Coturnix japonica: one gene and its partner. The protein of the gene in region 1 purifies or fractionates together with the protein of each later gene. This does not show direct contact. Links are inferred from orthologs where the notes say so. Each region holds a gene or a part of one and is shown in the gene's direction. Other genes may lie near its edges.

Region 1 (9,925 bases):
TTTTGGGGAGATCCCTTTGGGTTTTGGGATGGTTCCCCCTTGGATTTTGGGATGCTGCCCCCTTTGGGTTTTGGGATGGTTCCCCCTTGGATTTTGGGGAGATCACTTTGGATTTTGGGGTGATTCTGCTTTTGATTTTGGGGAGATCCCTTTGGGTTTTGGGATGGTTCCCCCTTGGATTTTGGGGTGCTGCCCCCTTTGGGTTTGGGGAAATCCCTTTAGTTTTTGGGATGGTTCCCCCTTTGATTTTGGGGAGTCCCCTTTGGATTTTGGGGTCTCCCAGTGGGATTTTGGGGTCTCTAAGTGGGATTTTGGGGTACATCCCCCTTTGGGCTTGGGGAGATCCCTTTGGTTTTTGGAGTGATTCTCCCTTTGCGATTCTGGGGAGATTCCTTTAGGTTCTGGGGTGGTGTTTCCCCTTTTGATTTGGGGAGATCCCTTTTGTTTTGGGGTGATTCTCCCTTGATTTTGGGGAGATCCCTTGGTTTTGGGATGGTTCCCCCTTGGATTTTGGGATGCTGCCCCCTTTGGTTTTGGGGAGATCCCTTTAGTTTTTGGGGTAGTTTCCCCTTGGATTTTGGGGAGATCACTTTGGATTTTGGGGGATTCTCCCTTTGATTTTGGGGTGATCTGTTTGGTTTTTGGGATGGTTCTCCCTTGGATTTTGGGGAGACCCCTTTGGATTTTGGGGTGCTGCCCCCTTGGATTTTGGGGTACATCCCCCTTTGGGCTTGGGGAGATCCCTTTGGTTTTTGGAGTGATTCTCCCTTGGATTTTGGGGAGATCCCTTTGGGTTTTGGGGTGGTTTCCCCTTTGATTTTGGGGAGATCCCTTTGGTTTTTGGGGTGATTCTCCCTTGGATTTTGGGGAGATCCCTTTGGTTTTTGGGGTGGTTTCCCCTTTGATTTTGGGGAGATCCCCTTGGATTTTGCAGTGCAGCACCCTTTAGGTTTGGGGAGATCCCTTTGGATTTTAGGGCGATTCTCCTTTGATTTTGGAGAGATCCCTTTGGTTTTTGGAGTGAGTCTCCCTTTGATTTTGGGGAGATCCCTTTAGGTTTTGGGGTGCTACCCCCTTTGATTTTGGGGAGATCCCTTTGGTTTTTGGAGTGATTCTCCCTTTGATTTTGGGGAGATCCCTTTGGGTTTTGGGATAGTTCCCCCTTGGATTTGGGGGCAATTCCTTTGGTTTTTGGAGTATTGATCCCTTTTGTTTTGCAGCATTTCTCCCTTTGATTTTGGGGGCAGTTCCTTTGGTTTCTGGAGTATTGATACCTTTGGGTTTTTCTTGATCCCTTTGGTTTTTGGGCACTCCCTTTGGGTGTTGAGGTGTCACTCCCTTTGGGCTTGGAGCAATTTCTTTGTGTTTTGGGGTGCTGCCCCCTGTGAGTTTTGCTCGATCCCTTTGTTTTTTGGAGTTTTACTCCCTCTGGGTTTCAAGCTATTCCTTTAGGGATTTGGGGTGGAGTCCCCTGTGGTTTTGGAGTGATCCCTTTGGGTTTTGGGTGATCCATTTTGTTGTTGAGGTATTAGTCCCTTTAGGTTTTGAGCTTTTGTTTTGGATTTTGGTGTTGTGCCCCATTAGGGTTTTGGGGTGTTTCTTTCTTTGGGGTTTGGGTGATTCCTTTGTGGTTTAGGGTGGTGCTCCCTTTGGGCTTTGGGTGATCCCTTTGTTTTTTGGGGGGTAGCTCCCCCTTTGATTTTGGGGCAATCCCTTTGGGTTTTGGGGTGGATCCTTCATTGATTTTGGTGTCATTCCTTTGGGTTTTGAGGTGGTATCCCCTATAGGTTCTGGTGTGGTATTTCCTTTGGCATTTGGGTGATTCCTTAGATCCTCCTTTATGTTTTGGGCAATCCCTTTGGGTTTTGGGTTGGTTCCCACTTTGTGTTTTGGGCGATCCCTTTGGTTTATGTGGTGTTGCACCCTTAAAGGTTTTCAAGTGGTCCTCCCTTTGCTTTTTGGGGTGGTGCCTCCTTTGAGTCCTACAAATAGCACAGGGGTGTGGGTGATTTTGGCTATGGAATAACCTTTTTTTTTCCCATTGCCATCATTAGGTTTCAGAGTGAACTAGGAAGGGGATCGTCCTATTAGCCCCATGTATGGGGATATCAGGGATGGGAAATGGTTCTCAACCACACAAGGGGGACGTGACCACCCCTTAGGATGGCGCAGAACAGTCCTTATCTGTGCTCAGCAATAGGATTGTGCAGCAGCAGGGGAAGGCAGCGTCAGGAAGACTTTCCATCCGCTTCCCCTGCTGTGTGTTGGCTGTCAATGAGAAACTAAGGGAGGAGGAGCGGGGGAGGGTTGGGAGGGAGGGATGAGAGGGAAATGTGCTATTTCTTGTTTGCAACCCAATGGTTTTCTTCCCTTTGACCTCTCTGTGGCTCCCCCCAGGACGTTCCTGGCACCAAATTCCTGCTGGGGAGGAAGGAAAACAAGGCTGTGTATGAAAACACTCCAGCTTAGAACACACAGACACACACATAAAAAGGGAAAACACAGAGAAAAATTGCTCAACCTCCACCACCCTGATCCCAATAACTCCAGGCTGGGGATGATGCCCAAGCGCACACGTGGGGCGTTATCCCTACAGGGCGTTGCAATCAGGGCAATATTTAACCACGTCGGCGTCATCGTGTGGGGCAGGCAGTGCAGACATGGAGGGCAGTGAGTGCCTTCAGCTGCTGCTTCGCCGCTGTCGTGAGGCCAAAGATTGTGCCTACTGCCCCTACAGCCGCTTCCCTGTGGGTGCCGCGTTGCTCACCGCCAATGGGGAGATCTTCTCCGGTGAGATATTGCTTTGGGGTTGTGGGGTAATGGTCTATTTGGGTTCCGGGGGGTCACTTTGGGATGGTGCCCCCCACTATGGGTTCTGGGGTGTTGGCTGTTTTGGGTTTGGCTTGAGCCCTGTGGGGTTTTGGGGTGGTGGAGCCTTTGGGTTTGGAGTGATTCCCTTGGGGTTTAGGGTGGCATTCGCTTTGATAATCTCTTTTATGTTTTTCTGGGGGGCTTTTAGTGCCTCCTTTGGGCTTTGGGGTGGTTCCCCCAGTGATTTTGGGGCAAACACTTTGTGTTTTGGTGGTCCCCCTATGATTTTGAGGCAGTTCCTTTGGGTTTTTGTGTGGTTCTCCCTTTGGGTTTTGGGCAATCCCTTTTGTTTTTGGAGCGTTGCACCTTTAGGTTTTCAGATGGTTCCCTCTTTGCTTTCTGGGGTGGTTCCTCCTTTGCTTTTTGGGTTGGTCCCCTCTTTGCTTTTGGGTTGGTCTGTTTGGGTGTTGGGGTGGTGCTCCCTTTGGGCATTGGGTGATTCCTTTGGCTTTTGGAGTGTTTCACCCTTTAGGTTTTGAGGTGGTTCCCCCTTTTCTTCTGGGGCAATCCCTTTACTGTTTGGGTGTTCCCTTTGCTTTACGGGGCAGTGTCCCCTTTGACTTTTATGCAATCCCTTTGCTTCTTGGCATGCTTCCCTCTTTGCTTTTTAGTCAATCCCTTTCCTTTTTGGAATGCTTCCCTTTTGCTTTATGGGGTGGTGAGTGATGCTGGTGCTTCCCTATAGGATGCAACGTAGAGAATGCCTGCTACAGCCTTGGGATGTGCGCTGAGCGTGCAGCCATCCTAAAAGCCATCTCCGAAGGGCACACACGCTTCAAGGCCATGGCCATTGCCAGGTGAGGCCATTGGCACCCATGGCACCACATCACTCTATGGGTTTTAGGGTGATGCCCCATTTGGGTTTTGTTCAATCTCTTTGGGGTTTTGGCGTAGTGCTCCCTTTTGGGGTGCTGCCCACTTTGGGTTTTGGCTGATCGCTTTGTTCAATGGGGTGGTTCTCCCTTTGAGTTTTGGGCAGTCCCATTGGGTTTTGGGGAATCCCTTTGGGTTTTGGAGTGTTCCGCCCTTTGGATTATTGGCTATTCCTTTGGGCTTTGGGGAGGTACCCCCTTTGAGTTTGGGGTGATCCCTTTGCTTATTGGGATGGTTCTCCCTCTAATTCTGAGGCAATCTCTTTGGTTTGGGGGGTGATTCCCCCTTTGATTTTAGGGCATCCCCTTTGGGCTTTGTGGTGGTGCCCCCTTTGGGTTTTGGGTAATACCCTTTGGGGAGGTGCCCTATTTAGGTTCTGGGTGATTTCATTGGGTTTTGGGTGATCCCTTTCTTTTCCAGTGTGGTTCCACCTTTAGTTTTGGAGCGATCCCTTTGGGTCTGGGGGAATCTCTTTGGGTTTCTATGTCTGATTCCCTTTGGCTTTTGGGATGGAGTGATACTGAACCTGGTGTGGCTCTTTTGCTTTGGCAGTAACATGTCAGACTTCATCACGCCATGCGGGGCCTGCAGACAGGTGATGAGAGAGGTGAGTGGAGCCCCTGCCATGCTGGGGGCATGGAGGGCCACAAGGAGCTGCAGGCCACCATGGATGGGGGCCACCCCTCCATCTCTGGGCTGAACAAACTAAGGGAGCCCAGCAGTTGAGCTGAGCTGTGGGTGCTGCAGCATGGATTCCCTATTGACCCTCTCTCCTGCTTTTCTCCTTGTAGTTTGGCACAGACTGGGACATCTACCTGACCAAACCTGATGGCACCTACATTGTGAAGACACTACGGGAGCTCCTGCCACTCTCCTTTGGCCCCGAGGACCTGCAGAAGGCATGAACTGCACACCTGCATTTCCCTTTCAGCACCTTGGATCACTCCCCCTCTATGCAATTGACTCCATTGGGGACAATGGAGTTTGCTCCATGGGTGTTGCTTGGATCCAATGCAGCCCAACAGGGGATAAAAAGCAATATCAGCTCCAGTTCCCAGCATTATCCAGCAGCCATTTGTGCACTGTGTTCACCGTGCAGCCAATGTGATGCCACAGCTCCTTTTTTTAGCCTATTTTTCTCCTTTCTCTCTATATTTTTGCTTGCTTTCGTGAGGACAAAGAGCAATTCCTTGACAATGAAACAGCAATGGAACAAAACCCAATGACGTGTTACTTTAACGAGGCATGCTGTGCTCTGTGCCCTGTTGGACCATGCCCTGCGTGCTCAGTGCTGTGTGCACTATGCCCTCCATGCACTCACTGCACTCCATGCACCAATGCATGCTGCACCAATGCAACCTGCAGCAGCACCTTAAGCCCTCACCTTGCGCATGCGCATTGCGCATTACGCGCTTCCTCGTAGCCACGCCCCCTTCCTCATAGCCACGCCCCCTCCCCATAACCACGCCCACTTTCCCTGTAGCCCCGCCCCTTCCGCTTCCGCCTTCTTCCCGCCTCTTCCTGAGGCGCTCGGTGGCCGCCATGTTGTTTCGGGTGCTGTTATCCCGGGCCTACCGCCTGCTGCCCGGCCGCCGCCCCCTCCCCATCCCCGTCCCCCCTCCTGTCCCCTCAGCCGTTCCTCCATCTTCCCTCTTTTCCCGGCTGCCATTCGGCCGCTTCTTCTCCTTCAGACGCCCGGCTGGCCTAGCGGCAATGGCGGTGCGGAGGGTCCGGGCCGGGCCTTGTATGGCGTTGGCGTTGGGGCTGGCGCTGTTGGAGCCGCCGTTGGAGGAACAACGAAGAGCGAGGGCGGCGTGTGGCCGGATCCAGGTGTGGGGCTACGGGGAGGGGTTGGACGTGATGAGCTTAGTGGCCTTTTCCAGCCTTAGGGGGGTTCTGTTGTCCCCATGGTTACAGCCTGAATGGCAGCCTCTGGCTGCGGCTTTCGGTCTGTCTTTGTGTGTGGAATCGCTGTATTATTGGGTTGGAAGGGATCTCGGAGCCCATTCAGTACCAACCCGTGCTTTAGGCTGGTTGAAAATAAGGCCATTTTGCACTTAACAGTCACTTGGGCTTTCCTGGTTGATTAAAAGGCATTTTGCTCTTTCCAAGCACTCCAGCTTTCCTTTATTGTGCAGTCTTTGCAGAATCACAGAATGACCCGTGTTGGAAGGGACCTCAAGGATCACGTAGTTCCAACCCCCCTGCCTGGCAGGGCTACCAAACATACACCTTTACTAGATCAGGTTGCCCAGGGCCCCGTCCAACCTGGCCCTGAACACCCCCAAGGACGGGGCATCCACAACCTCCCTGGGCAGCCCGTTCCAGGGCCTAACCACTCTGCTAGTAAACAACTTTCCCCCTAACATCCAACCTAAATCTTCCCTCTTTCAACTTAAAACCATTTCCCTGTGTCCTGCTATTGTCAGCCCTTTTGAAGAGTTTACTCCCCTCCTGGGAGTAAGTTCCCTTCAGGTATTGAAAGGCTGCAGTGAGGTCACCCCGCAACCTTCTCTTCTCCAGGCTGAACAAACCCAACTCCCTCAGCCTGTCAATAAACTGAATAGTCTTGAATAAACTGAATGCTTTTCTCATTCCACTTTTCCTTCGTTTTTCCTTTCAGACGGTGTTTGTTGGGAAGAACAAGGCGCAGAAAGATCCGCTGAGCTCTTTGCGATGGCGGGGCTTTAAGCTGGAGGATTATCTCATCGGGCAGCCCCTTGGGAAGGGCTGCAATGCTGCTGTCTATGAAGCAACTATTCCTTCATCCCTCCATCGCCAGGGGAGCACACAGAGCTCAGCTCTGCCTGTGTCTGAAAAGGAGCCGGCAGATAAAAGCCAACAGCAAGCTGCCTTCCCCCTGGCTATCAAAATGATGTGGAACATCTCGGTAAGGAGTCAGCTCTTAACATCCTCCTTGTGTGTCTGGATATGCCCAGAGTTAGGTTACACAGGGCAACCTGATGTGGTGAGGGGCCACCCAGCCTACATAATGTCTTGGAACTGGATGATCTTTAAGGTCCTCTCCAGTCTAAGCCATTCGATAAGGACAAGACATTGAATGCCTGTTGTTAGTGACAAGTCACACAGCCAGTCATTATTCCTGTGGAGCTGACAGCACGTTGCTGTTGCAGGCTGACTCTTCAAGTGAAGGCATCCTGCGCAATATGCACCGAGAGCTCGTTCCAGCCACACAGACTGCTTTAGCTGGGGAATATGGAGCCATCTCCCATCGCAGGTACAGTATCCATCGCAATGACAGCTGTTCTCAGGGTATTATGTGCTAATTTGATCCAGCTTGATCCATCGGTTTCGTTCTGCAGCACGTCTGTGCTGTACAGAATGCAGCTGGAGGTTTCTGTGATATCTTATGGGAAGAACTGAGCATGAATCCTTGGGATTATTCCATGTGTGTGTGTGCCTTAGCTAAATGGCACTGCCTTTGTTGGTGCTGTATGCCTCAGTTGCCATGCAAGAGCACGCTTCTGCCTATCCTAGTGACTTCCCTCTAGTGAGGGAACAGCGTAGCAGTGGTGCTGTTCAAATAGTAATTTAAAAGTCTTGTTTGCTTTGAGGAGCACTTGGCATGCAGGAGATACCTGCAGCTTGGCCGTGTGCTTCCCTCCAGTGTCTTAGTCTTGAAGAGTGTTGGAAGGACATGGGATGATTAGGAACCCATCTGCTTTGGGTCTGATGGGGCACTGTGCCTCAGCTTCCCCATGTGTAAAGTATGTAAATTGCATTGCTCTCTGATAATGAGTAAGTTAACTGTTGGAAAAGCAGTGAGAACGTACTCCACAGTCCAGACTGCCTGATTTACACTTGAAATATGTCTCAGTTGACAGTATAGATGAATAACAAATGCTGCTTGGTGTGTTGTTACCCTGGGAATGCAATGAAGCCAAAGGACTATCTGATGTTCAGAGAGGAGAGCTCTGTTTTGCAGTTGCATAGTCAGTAACCTGAATGCTTCCTGTCTGTGCTAGTAAATACGAGGTCTAAGGTGATATGTGGCAGTGTGAATCTGGCCTTTATTTTCAGTCTAAAAGGACAGGGTTAGTAGAAAATGAAAGGCTGCATGTTGAGTGTGAGTGTTTCTGCTTATCCATCACACTGCAGGAAATCCAGTCACAAGGTGACAGCAGAACAGACATATTTATCTGCTGCTTTGGAACCCTTTGGTGGAGGGGATGTACCATAGTAATGAAAAATAACCCTGGAGGTCATAGAGATCAGTGTAACTTATGTCTGTATCTTTACACAGAGAACCTGTCCTTGGGAGGAAGAGATTGAGACCTCATCCAAATATAATCCAGGTGATCCGAGCTTTCACATCCTCTGTCCCGTTGCTGCCTGGAGCCCTCACAGACTATCCTGATGTTCTTCCAGTGAGCCTGAATCCCAGAGGGATCGGTCGCAGCCACACACTCTTCTTAGTGATGAAAAAGTAGGTGGGGAGAAGCTTGTTGGGGGCTGGAACTTTGTGGGGTTGCCCAGCAGAGCTGTGTGTTCTGCTGCATGGGTCCTGCTAGAGATTTGGCCTGGGTTGTTGCCAGAAGTCAGAGTACACTCTTGGAAACGTGGCTTCTGAGAGCTGTTGAGATCCTTGAGATTTTAGCTCTTGTTCAACAATAAAGGCAAGCTGTCTGTGCTTGTGACTCAGAAATTGAAAGGCATGGCAAAGTTCAGGAGGAATTTGGCACTTCTAAGTGCAGTGTATCCCCAGCCAGACAGCACTGAAGTCAAATGGGAAAGGAAAGGCTTCTGGGATGCTAATTCAGGTATCATCTGTGTTCTGACCAGCTATCCGTGCACCCTGTGCCAGTATTTGAAGGACAACAGCCCAGATACCCGACTGTCCACCATGATGATTTTGCAGTTGTTGGAAGCCGTGGATCATCTCGTTCGACACGGGATAGCACACAGAGACCTGAAGTCTGACAACATCCTGGTTGAGTTTGATTCTGGTATGTAGATCACTGGGTGTAAGGCTGTGTCTGTGGACATAGAAGGTTGTGCTGTAACCTGAGGGAGAGGTGCAGGATGTGCTGCACAAGCAAAGCAAGTGTTGGCTTGAAGGCATACAGGACTGCCATGCTCGCATTGCTGGCATTAGGCTGTGTCATTCCTCACTGGCCAGACAGCACAAAGCAGTTCTTAAAATGCTGCTGTATCCTGCCATGGCTCCACATCTGTTGAAAGGCAGGGAACTGACAGAGTATTCAAACCAAAAGCAGCATTTTTTTTGTCACCAGCTTCTCCTGTTGGCCCCGTTAACCTGAGATTTTAATTACCTGAGCTCTTTTTCACTGTGACTGAAAATCAAACGGGCAGGAAACAACAGCATGGAGCCAGATCTTTGTAATTGAAAGTCTTGGTGCAGCAGCTGTGGCGGGCTTTCAGTGATGCTAATGCCATCTCTCTTGAAGGAAATGCTTCTCTGGAGCTCCACTGAATGCAGTTAGGAATGATTTAAAGCATTGATTTTTCCCTTTCAGAGTCAGGAGAAGTAATGTTTTTGCTTTGCAGTGTTTGGCTTGTCTTCAGGACAAGAACTGTGAACTCATGCCAGATTCCTCCAGCCTTTAGCTCAGATTCTATCTTTATAGCTTTTGCTGTAGGTAAAGATGAAGGTGAAAAGATTGTTTTCATCATTGAAGAGTTCCTTACCTTATGTGTCCCGGTTGTTAGGGTATCCATAGTGCCTGCTCCTGGTGCTTGTCTCTTGCAGCTGGGTGCCCCCAAGCTGAATGCTCACTGCTGTCCCTGTTGTTTGCAGCTGGCTGCCCCCGGCTGGTGATCACAGACTTCGGTTGCTGTTTGGCAGATGACAGCATTGGTCTGAGGCTGCCCTTCACCAGCATTGACATGGATCGTGGTGGCAATAGCTCTCTTATGCCACCTGAGGTAAATCTTCCCACAGCTGGTGCTGCTGGTTGTGGGTTTGTGCCGTTTCTGGGGATAAAAGCTTCAGCACCAGCTGAGGTGCAAATATATGAGAACTTGGCAAAGGGTGGGATTGGGTCTGCATAGAATGAATTGAATTTTCTTAGAATCCACACCCAGTATTTGTCAAATGGGTACTTTGACCACCAAATGAAAATCCATTGGTGTTTTGAGGCAGTGTTGACTTTTCCCACAAGAAAGTTTGTTCTGTAACCGTTTTCTCAGGCTCAATTCC
Region 2 (9,653 bases), on another chromosome or scaffold:
TCACAAAAATAGGAAGAAATGGGCCCTGATTATACCATGTTCATTTATTCTGATGTCTTCCTCAGTCTACGATTTCTGTTGCCCTTTCCATTGCCATAATTTCTCAGTTGTGTGCTTTGTTTTCTTATGTACGTGCATATACATGGCTACCCAAATACCTATTTTCTTATTCCTACTGCAATAAATGTCTCCTAAAAATCCAGTTTCTCTGAGTAAAAAGGACTTTCATGTCAATAAAAATTAACTGGATCGAAATAACAGTGTAACTACTCTCATTTACACTTAAAATCCTCATGCACCTCTCTTGTTCTTCTGTCCTCTGAGAATTCTGCCCATTTTGACTTCAGCAAAATGCAAGCTTCATAAAACAAGAAAAACAAATAGCTGAAATTTCAAACTACATTTTATTTTGGAGACCCAAATCAAGACTGAAGCACTTGGCATGTTCTGGCATTTAGTTCTGCTTAGAGTTTAAGGTTGAGCAGTGAGCCTCAGAGTATGTCATGCCTTTTGTCAGCTTGGAAAATCTTGTTCTTTATGTCCCAGTCACTGCTAAAGATACTGCTGAGAGTCATCAGTTAGTGCTACTGCCATTAAATGCAGTGAGTCAGAGCATTCCAGTTGGTTTCTTTTCTTTAAGGGAAGGATTACATTTATTGTTATACCTATGAAAGAACTGAAAAACTTCCAGTTCTCTGCTCTGTGCTGCTAGAATGTTGCATACTGTTGGAGACAACCCCACGACTTGGGCAGAGGTGTTCTGGCTTTGGAAATGATTGCCTGTTTCAGTAAAAGAGATACAAAAGGGGACAGAAAATACCCTGCTCTGCCAACCAGAAACCGTAATAGAGGGGAACTTTGTGTGCAACAGTAATAATAGCATGCAACTGGGCGGCACAAGTCATAATCAGAACACTTCCCCAGTGATGAAAGACCCACCGGTTTCATATCGTTCATCTGACATTAAAATACAGTACTGCAGAAAGACGTGGTTAGTCTTGAGTATGTAATGTACTCATTTCCTTGTAAAAATCAGTGGATACTCATAGACATTTGCTGTATTTTGTAACAATGACAACTACCATAGACAATGCAATTTGAAAAATAACTTTCATAAGAGAATTTTCAATTCAATTCCTGAGATCATAAATTCGAGTTATTCAGAAAAGGGGGCTTACAGGCCTGGACACACACTTAGGTGTTAGTAAATCTGGGGGTTCACAAACCCACAGCAGCTTCTCTCAAGGTTCTTGGGGATCAGAAGAAGCAGCTTTTCCTGAGGTGCTCTCAGCACAATGTACAGAGCTGCACCAGGCTGCGGGGAACACCGTCTTTCCTCTGGGCTCAGCTACACCCAGCACCCAGCCAGAGGGAAGGACTGCCCCAGCAGAACGGTTACAACAGAATTTATAACTATTTATTCGGAAACGAGAACCTGGGGCCTTTCTGCTTTCAAAACCAGAGAAGCCCGAGACTTCTCAAACGACAACTGAAGGAGGAAGTGCTCTTTTCAACAGAAGTTAAGGCGTTCAGTCAAGCAGCAGCCCCAGCACTTGTGTGTCTGAATATTATGGAGATTCCCTATTCAGCTGCTGCAGGACATTAACCCTCTTTCATATTCTCCTGTTGAAAAAGTCCCTCTTGCACAGAGAGCGTTCAATATTCATGGACCTGGGGGAAGTGTGAAGGAAAGCCTCTGTAGGCCGATGCCTTCCAGTCCTTGCTCCCTAAAGGACTCTGGGTTGCTTTATCAAACCGACAACAAAGGGAACTGCATTTGCATGGCAGGATGTTTTGGCTGGATGTCTTAGGCTTATGGGTCATTATATACTTTCAGGGGGGAAAAAAATAATCATTTCACACTTCAAAGCAGAACCCTCACTAAAAGTCTTTCCAGACTATTACAGGGATATTTTCATTCTTAGTGTAGCAGATTTTCAGTACATAGCAGTATATCTGTATCCTCTTGGCTGCAGCCATCAGCTCCCCTCTGCCCTCCCTCCTCAGCTCTCTGTGATTCCTGCAGCTATGGGAATCTGCAGAGATTCAGACTTTCCTGACAAGAACTGCAGAGATCTTTCACAGAGGCCAATTCACATTCCCCTTTGGGCTTGAGATGCAAATATGGGCTACATTCATTGCAGGTGTATAAGAAACTTCATTTCCACACCTGTGTAAGAGCCCACCAGCAGAAGGTACAGAGGGGTTTATTGCAGTCCTTATAACTGACTATCTTTGTATTGTTAGGGAAATTTCACAGAGAAACAGCAATGAGGCAGATGGCCAAGAGCACATATGGCACCAGTGACACAAACATATGAAAATTATATCCAAAACAAGAGGGAAAGAGGTCCTGTTTCTTTACCAGAACAAACACCTCCCTGAATTTCAGGGGCAGAGCACTGTCGGAGTGAAGGATGGCAGTTGCCATAAGGGTTTTGTGGAGCATAAACAAGCTGTGGGTCATTAAGAGAAGCAGATGGAGCCAAGTGCACCTTAGCAGCCCAGCAATCTGTGACAGCTCCCGGTGAGCTGAGTGCAGCATCTTCCCTTGGGAGCCGCTTGCTGCCTCCCTCTGAGCTTTTTGCCTGTGTTCCTTTACTTCTTATCGCCATCAGAACCAAACTACAGCACAGAAAGGAACACAGGCACTGAGCAGCCAACCAAAAATCTCCCACTACAACTTTAATTAAATATTAGGGCTCTGATTCTTCCCATAAGGTACAACACCTGAAGGGCAATAGCCAACCCTACTGTGAGCTGGGGTACAGACATCACTTCACTCCCTGCCCGCTGCTCATGTTTAGGTTTATCAGAACTCCCAACATAGACATTGCTTCTGCAGGGCTGCAAGTTAGAAAAACTAAATCCAGTGGTAGCATTACACCCCATAAGTGCAGATAGCTTTGCATTGTGTCAGTCACTTTTAGAGCAAGGAGGAGAATGGTGTCACCAATCAGATGCATCAGTGTGGGATAGTTCCCTAGGAGAACGTGCCTCGGGCTTTGGGCAGCCCAGCTTTACGTTCCCTAAAGGACAGGGATCTCACCACCTCCCTTACACCACTCCGCACTCACGCTTAAAATGGTCTTGGGGAATTCTTTTACTGCTGCTCCGGTTTTTCCCATCCAATCTTACGCCAACACTATTGGTTCTCCTGTCTCACTTGGCAGCCCGACTGCGATAGTGCAGTTGCAGTAGAAGCATGAGGCATGTCCTGCCTTTGAGGCTCTTTGGGGATCACTTCTAACGAGCTTTTTGTAAGAGCTCTTTATTGAAACAATGACCGTGTGCCTACAGAAACTAAAAGCAAACAGACCCTTGGTTAAACCGCTCCAAGTGACCAGGAGCCCAGCGCCCGAAGGCAGAGCGGTGTCCCTGCTGCAGCCGTGGCAGTGCGGCAGCGCCCGTCCGCAATGGGCGCAGCTCCGCCGGCATCAATGAGGGCGGGCCCCCGGGAGCCGCTGAGCCCTGAGCACGGGACGGGAGGCTGCGGGTGCCGTCGGAAGCAGCTAACCCCAAACCTATCGACGGTTCGTGTTTCTGTCTGCCCGCTTTGGATGTCTGGGAGCCCTTAGTGAATAGCGAGCATCGCTCCCCCGATCCCGGAGACTTTCAGCAAGATACGGAGAAAGGGACGGGGCTCGCACAAAGTTGCACAGACGCATTTTTAAGCGCTCGGCCCGTGCTGGGAGCGCTGTCGGAGCACCGCAGCCCGTCCTGCCCTCGGAATCACTGCGCTGTCGGAGGGGCGTAGGGCCCCAAGGAACCTCGGCAACCGCCCCGTGTCCCGCCGCCTTTGTCCCCGAGCTGTAACCACGGACCCCTTCCCCCCCAGCCCCTCCCCGCTCGGACGCGGCCATTGGAGACGGACGGGGCGGGGCGGGGCGGCGGCGCCCCATAAGAGGGGCCCCGAGTTGGGGCCACCGCCCTTCTTCGCCCGCCGCGCTCCGAGCCCCGCTCCGCTCCCGGATTACAAAGCCGCTCCGTTCCTTGCCGCCATGAGCTTCACCAGCAGCAAGAACTCCTCGTACCGCCGCATGTTCGGCGGGGGCAGCCGGCCCAGCAGCGGCACCCGTTACATCACGTCCACCACCCGCTATTCCCTGGGCAGCGCCCTCCGGCCCAGCAGCGCCCGCTACGTGTCCGCCTCGCCCGGCGGCGTGTACGCCACCAAGGCGACGTCGGTGCGGCTGCGGAGCAGCATGCCGCCCATGAGGATGCACGACGCCGTGGATTTCACCCTGGCCGACGCCATCAACTCGGAGTTCAGGGAGACCCGAACCAACGAGAAGGTGGAGCTGCAGGAGCTCAACGACCGCTTCGCCAGCTACATCGAGAAGGTGCGTTTCCTGGAGCAGCAGAACAAGATCCTGCTGGCCGAGCTGGAGCAGCTCAAGGGCAAAGGCACGTCCCGTCTGGGCGACCTGTACGAGGAGGAGATGCGGGAGCTGCGGCGGCAGGTGGACCAGCTGACCAACGACAAGGCCCGAGTCGAGGTGGAGCGCGACAACCTGGCCGACGACATCATGCGCCTGCGGGAGAAGTGAGTGCGGGGCCGGGGCTGGGCGCGGGGCGGGCACCCACCCTCACATCCCTCACCTCCCTCCCTCACGTCGGCCGTGTGTCGCTGCTTGCAGGTTGCAGGAGGAGATGCTGCAGCGGGAGGAGGCCGAGAGCACCCTGCAGTCCTTCCGACAGGTGGGCGCGGCCGCCGCGGGGCGCTGGGGGCGGAGGGTCGGGGCTGGGGCTGGGGGCTGGCGATGCGGGCTGGCTCTGCCCGCACAAAAGGCGCTCGGCGCAGCCCCTTGGTCTCCCCGTTGTTTTCTTTAGGGGGGTGCCGCAGTCCGGAGGGGAGGGTGAGGCTATTGTCCCACTTTATCCCGGTCTGGCCGGCTCCACAAAAGCGCTCCGACGTGGAATCGCTTTCTGATCCAATAGTTGTGAAAAGGCGCAGCCATCTGCGCGCCGGGCTGAAGGGTATTAATGGTTTCTATGGGATTCACCGAGGAATGCAGATCCAGGCATTATGGCCGGTGTGGTGGCAGCAGATTGAAATAATGGATCCCTTTGTGTTGGAGGGGAGGCTGCCGTGGGCTGCATTCCTACCGAATGTGTAATGGTGGGGGCACGTTCCTGGGGGAGACTCTGTAAAATACTGAACTCGGTTCTGGATGAGCCGCATCACTTTGCACACTCAGGAAACTGTCCCAGATTTGAAGTATTTCCTATCAGTGGTGTCTGCTGATCAGAAGCAGACAATGGGTTCCTCGGGATGAGCTCACAGCAGCTGTCTGTATCCCCTTGATGTGCATTAAGAATGTAGAATTCAATCCCTTATAAGCAAAGATGTTAATGTAAGATACAGTGCACCGGAGTTTGGTCTGTAGGAAGCTGCGGTGTCACACAGCTGAACCAAAGCCGATGTGACAGCCAGAACCAACTGTGAAGCCTGCGGAAAGTTCTGAGCTTAAGTTTTGATTTGTGCAAAACCAGCTCTTGGCGTGGATTGAGGGCTGGTTGGACGAGCAGAACTTTAGGAATGTGCCTTCTCAAAACAACAGAACTTCCTGAAAACTGCTGGGGTGAAAAAACACTGCTATCACTCCTCTGAGCTGGAAGCAGCTGCCCTGTATCTCCAGACAGCTGGGCGCAGGCTGACCATCTTAGAGCTCTGCATAGGCAATAGTAGGTGTCACCATGTAGGAAGCTGTCATTTGGTTTTTAGCATTTCCCTGGTGGTCTTAGTGGGGCAGTGTGGGAGCAGACACATGGCAGGGGCTGGGAATGAGGTGTCCACTGACATTGTGGGGGCTGAAGCTTGAAATAGCAGTTCCAGGTATTGCCTTTAACCCAGGCTGCTGTGTTACTAGGGCTGAGCCCATCCAAGTAGTTGCCAAGTCAGTGCAGATGCATTTCCCCTTTTTGTTTCAAATTACTAGAGTTCAAGCACAAGCTCCTTTGACTTAAAGCTAGTTCAATCATGCGTGCTTCTCTGGTGCACTTCAAGGCACGTCTTCCTCTCCCTCCAAGCAACACAGCTTTGTAAAGGCTGCGGGCTATTATGTGAGCTGTGCTGTGCGTGCCTCACATTCATTGTCTGCTTCCCTGCCCTGTCACTCAGCCTCCAGCTGCTCTGCCCATGCACTGAGCCCATGTAACCACTCAGCTTTACATGTAAAAACTGCAGATCATTGTCTGAGTTGATCAGTGGCACAAATAGTGCATGCTGCTGGGTTTGGTTTGAACAAAAGTATACCCAGTTTTTCCCTGCCACAACAGAGTAGTTCTAACGTGCAGATTTAGAAGAGAAAGTACGCTTGAGAGTTACTGAATTTTTTCCTCTAAACAAGAGATGCCACATTACTTTCCACGTATACTGCGGGGTGTTCTACATCAAATAAGCCTAGGGATTTGGTGACTGCTTTGTGCAACAAAAGAGGCATCATAATTAATGAGGAAGTTATGTACCGCAGCTTTGTCAGATGCTCTGACAGCAGGGAACAGATCTGAGCCCATGACAAGGCACACAGGTCAGCTCCTGGCTAACAAGGGCTTTCCTGAAATAAATGAGGATGTTCAGCCATTAAAGACTCTCTTCAGATAAAATCAATATGTAGTCAGTCCAATTACTCATATGTGTGACTGAAACCTTGTTTGCTCAGGCTATTAATACCTTTTTCATCTACATGGCTCTAAAGTGTGCAGAGTAAATGCACTTAGCGGAAATACAGTGAAATGCACATTACGTACTGAACAAGCCTCCAGTTTAAGATGCTTTCTGCATATTAGAGGTTGCTATAACTTCTGTAGCTCTTTGAATCTGGGAAAAAAATAATCCCTTTTAGTATTGAGGCTTGTGCAAAATCCACTGGCAAGTGTTTGGATTTCTCAGTAGTCATGTAAACATGTTAGGTCATAGTTGTGTAATTTCCTTCTAGAATGGTCTTGGAGTTTGGGAGGAGAACAAATGCGTTAAGGAATTCATTTTTTTTTCTGAACTGGAAAACAGAGCCAAGATGAACTGTGGTGTGCAACTGGAGTTGATAAGAAACTTTCGTAACACATCAAAGGGGCTTTCTGCTGCATATTGAATGCTGGAGAATTCTTCTGGTGCAAAAAACTTAATCCCGGGATAGGAGTAAACCAAAGGATGGCGTCCTGATAGTCTAAAGAAAACTTTTCCTGTTTCAGAGGTGTTGTAATAGTGAGTGCTGCTGATGAGTAATGTTTATGTTCTGGACAAAATACAGACTGGCTGTAATGCAAGTTGTGAAAACAGGATGCTTATATTAATACCATAGGAACAAAACTGGGCAGCCAATGTGAAAGGATGTCTTCCCTTTATAAAGTGCTTTACTCGTGTCTTTAAAATGTAAGAAGTTACTGATCCATGGTTAATTTTCAGTTATTTTTTGAACAAATTAACACTGTTTCCATGTAACATTCGTGGCATATCATCTCTTGTGCCTTAAATGAATTTTTGCTGTTGATTAAGACTATCTCTGTCCAGCAAAGGGTGGAGTATTTGCCAGCTAATGCGAGGGTGTAGGCAGCAGTGACTGACTCCATTTGTGTTTATGCTCATACCTTTTCCTCCAGGGACATCTGTCAAACTGCTTGGGGTAGTCTGTGGTCCTTACACACACATCCCTACATTTAACAGAGTGCCTTCAAGTTGTGATCTGCGGAGCCAAGGGACTCTGGTGTGTCACTGAGGAGTCCATAGGAGATGAACAAAATGTTCATCCACCATGATGTGTGTCAGCAGTAACATAGCAAAGATGACATCTTCATATGCTGCATAGTCCACAAAGTTGTGATAAAGCAGCATATAGTGATCTCTGAGGCTGGGGCTGGAAGGAGCAAAAATAAGATTACTAATTGTTCTCTTCTCTCTGATCAGGATGTTGACAATGCTTCTCTGGCGCGCCTTGATCTTGAGCGCAAAGTTGAGTCCCTGCAAGAAGAAATTGTCTTCTTGAAGAAGCTTCATGATGAGGTAAGCTGAATAATGAGGTCTGTGTCTGGGCACTGTCAGTCAAGTGAACAACTAAACTCTCTGGCTCTGGCCCCGAGTCCTAACCTATGCATTTTCTGTATAGTGTTGTTTATTAACACTGTCTCCTTCTCTCTAAGGAAATCCGGGAACTGCAGGCTCAACTCCAGGAACAGCACATCCAAATCGATATGGATGTTTCTAAGCCTGATCTTACTGCTGCCCTGCGTGATGTTCGTCAACAATATGAAAGTGTTGCTGCTAAGAATCTTCAGGAAGCTGAAGAGTGGTACAAGTCCAAAGTAAGTAAAATGTGTTGTAGGATTATACAGATGTAGCGGGCATTCAAATGAATTTTAGGTAACAGTTTTGCTGTAGCACTCAGTGTTCCTTCTGTACTGAATGCTAGCACAGCCGCAGAGTAGGGTAGTCTTTAAACTTATTGATCTGGGAAGAATACAGTTGGAAAAATTACTTGTGCCCTAAGTGCAGCATCAAACTAATGGGCTCGTTTCCTGTTCTTCCCTATTCTTGGAGCTGGAGGCAGTTCTTAAGTATATACTTAGGAAAGGAATGAATAAATGCATGAAAGGATCTGAAACATAACAATCAGGAATAGAGAAGTTCAGTGTAATGTTCACGTTTAAATATTTCATGTGCTAGAACATCCCTGTAATGGCTTCAGTTGCTTCCAAATCCTGGGTCTAGAAGTAGCCTGTTACACCATTTTAATGAGGAGTTATGCTAACCAAACTGGGTGTTTCTACAGTTTGCAGATCTCTCCGAAGCTGCTAATAGGAACAATGATGCCCTGCGCCAGGCCAAACAAGAAGCTAATGAATACCGCAGACAGATTCAGTCTCTCACCTGTGAAGTTGATGCCCTTAAAGGAAGTGTAAGTAGATGATGTTCTTCCTGATGCAGCTTTTTAAGCACTGTGCTGTAGTTCAGTGGATGGACGTGGCTGCAGCTGATCTCCCGTACAAGGCAGCAGTGTACCCATCCTTCCTGAAAAAGACTCATTGGGCTCCATTTGTCTGCATGTACTGTGTAGTGCACTGCTCAGATTGCTGTACTGAGCTGGTCTTTCTCAAGGTGTAAACATTACAGAATGAGCTATACGAAGCCTAAGGGAGCAGTGGAAAAGTGCAGATCTTGTACTTTCTTGAATCTAGTTGCCTGAAAGGCTGGCTTGAAATGGAGGTAACTGTTTAGTACACCGGTAGACTCCCTCACTAAGTACTATCTGCGTGCTGACTTGTACTGTATGTGTTTGACTTACTGTGGGGGTTTGCTTTGCTGTCTGGTAGCATAATGTTAAACGTGTCTCATCAGACACCTCACTCACAAGGCTTCACAAGGGGAGGATAAGGAGATGATAAAAGGGGGGCATGTTTGAGCCTTTTCAGAAAGGATACTGTTGTTCAACTTCCCTTCATGCTTTTTCTTATTTAAGTAATGAAGGGCCTTGCCATTAGGAGTGGCTGAACTGTAATTGTACTTGACTTTCTTCTCTCCCAGAATGAATCCCTGGAGCGCCAGATGCGTGAAATGGAGGAGAATTTTGCTGTTGAAGCTGCTAACTACCAAGACACTATTGGCCGCCTGCAGGATGAGATTCAGAACATGAAGGAAGAAATGGCTCGCCAGCTGC

The links.
Region 2: the proteins of PINK1 (region 1) and VIM purify together in Homo sapiens (affinity purification with mass spectrometry; 3 studies listed by BioGRID and IntAct, with this or other methods). This does not show direct contact. The link is inferred for Coturnix japonica from reciprocal best matches to the Homo sapiens genes PINK1 and VIM.

What each region holds. Positions count from the first base shown.
Region 1 is NC_029536.1:4,261,528-4,271,452, forward strand, and holds the start of PINK1 (serine/threonine-protein kinase PINK1, mitochondrial), read left to right. Parts: upstream 1-4,721; coding exon 4,722-4,739; exon of another isoform or gene 4,740-4,983; intron 4,984-5,187; coding exon 5,188-5,574; intron 5,575-6,367; coding exon 6,368-6,634; intron 6,635-6,878; coding exon 6,879-6,982; intron 6,983-8,008; coding exon 8,009-8,191; intron 8,192-8,547; coding exon 8,548-8,711; intron 8,712-9,523; coding exon 9,524-9,651; intron 9,652-9,925. UniProt on the Homo sapiens protein: Serine/threonine-protein kinase which acts as a sensor of mitochondrial damage and protects against mitochondrial dysfunction during cellular stress.
Region 2 is NC_029517.1:18,027,715-18,037,367, reverse strand, and holds the start of VIM (vimentin), read left to right. Parts: upstream 1-3,919; 5' UTR 3,920-4,001; coding exon 4,002-4,546; intron 4,547-4,602; exon of another isoform or gene 4,603-4,623; intron 4,624-4,640; coding exon 4,641-4,701; intron 4,702-7,906; coding exon 7,907-8,002; intron 8,003-8,139; coding exon 8,140-8,301; intron 8,302-8,768; coding exon 8,769-8,894; intron 8,895-9,520; coding exon 9,521-9,653. UniProt on the Homo sapiens protein: Vimentins are class-III intermediate filaments found in various non-epithelial cells, especially mesenchymal cells. Vimentin is attached to the nucleus, endoplasmic reticulum, and mitochondria, either laterally or terminally.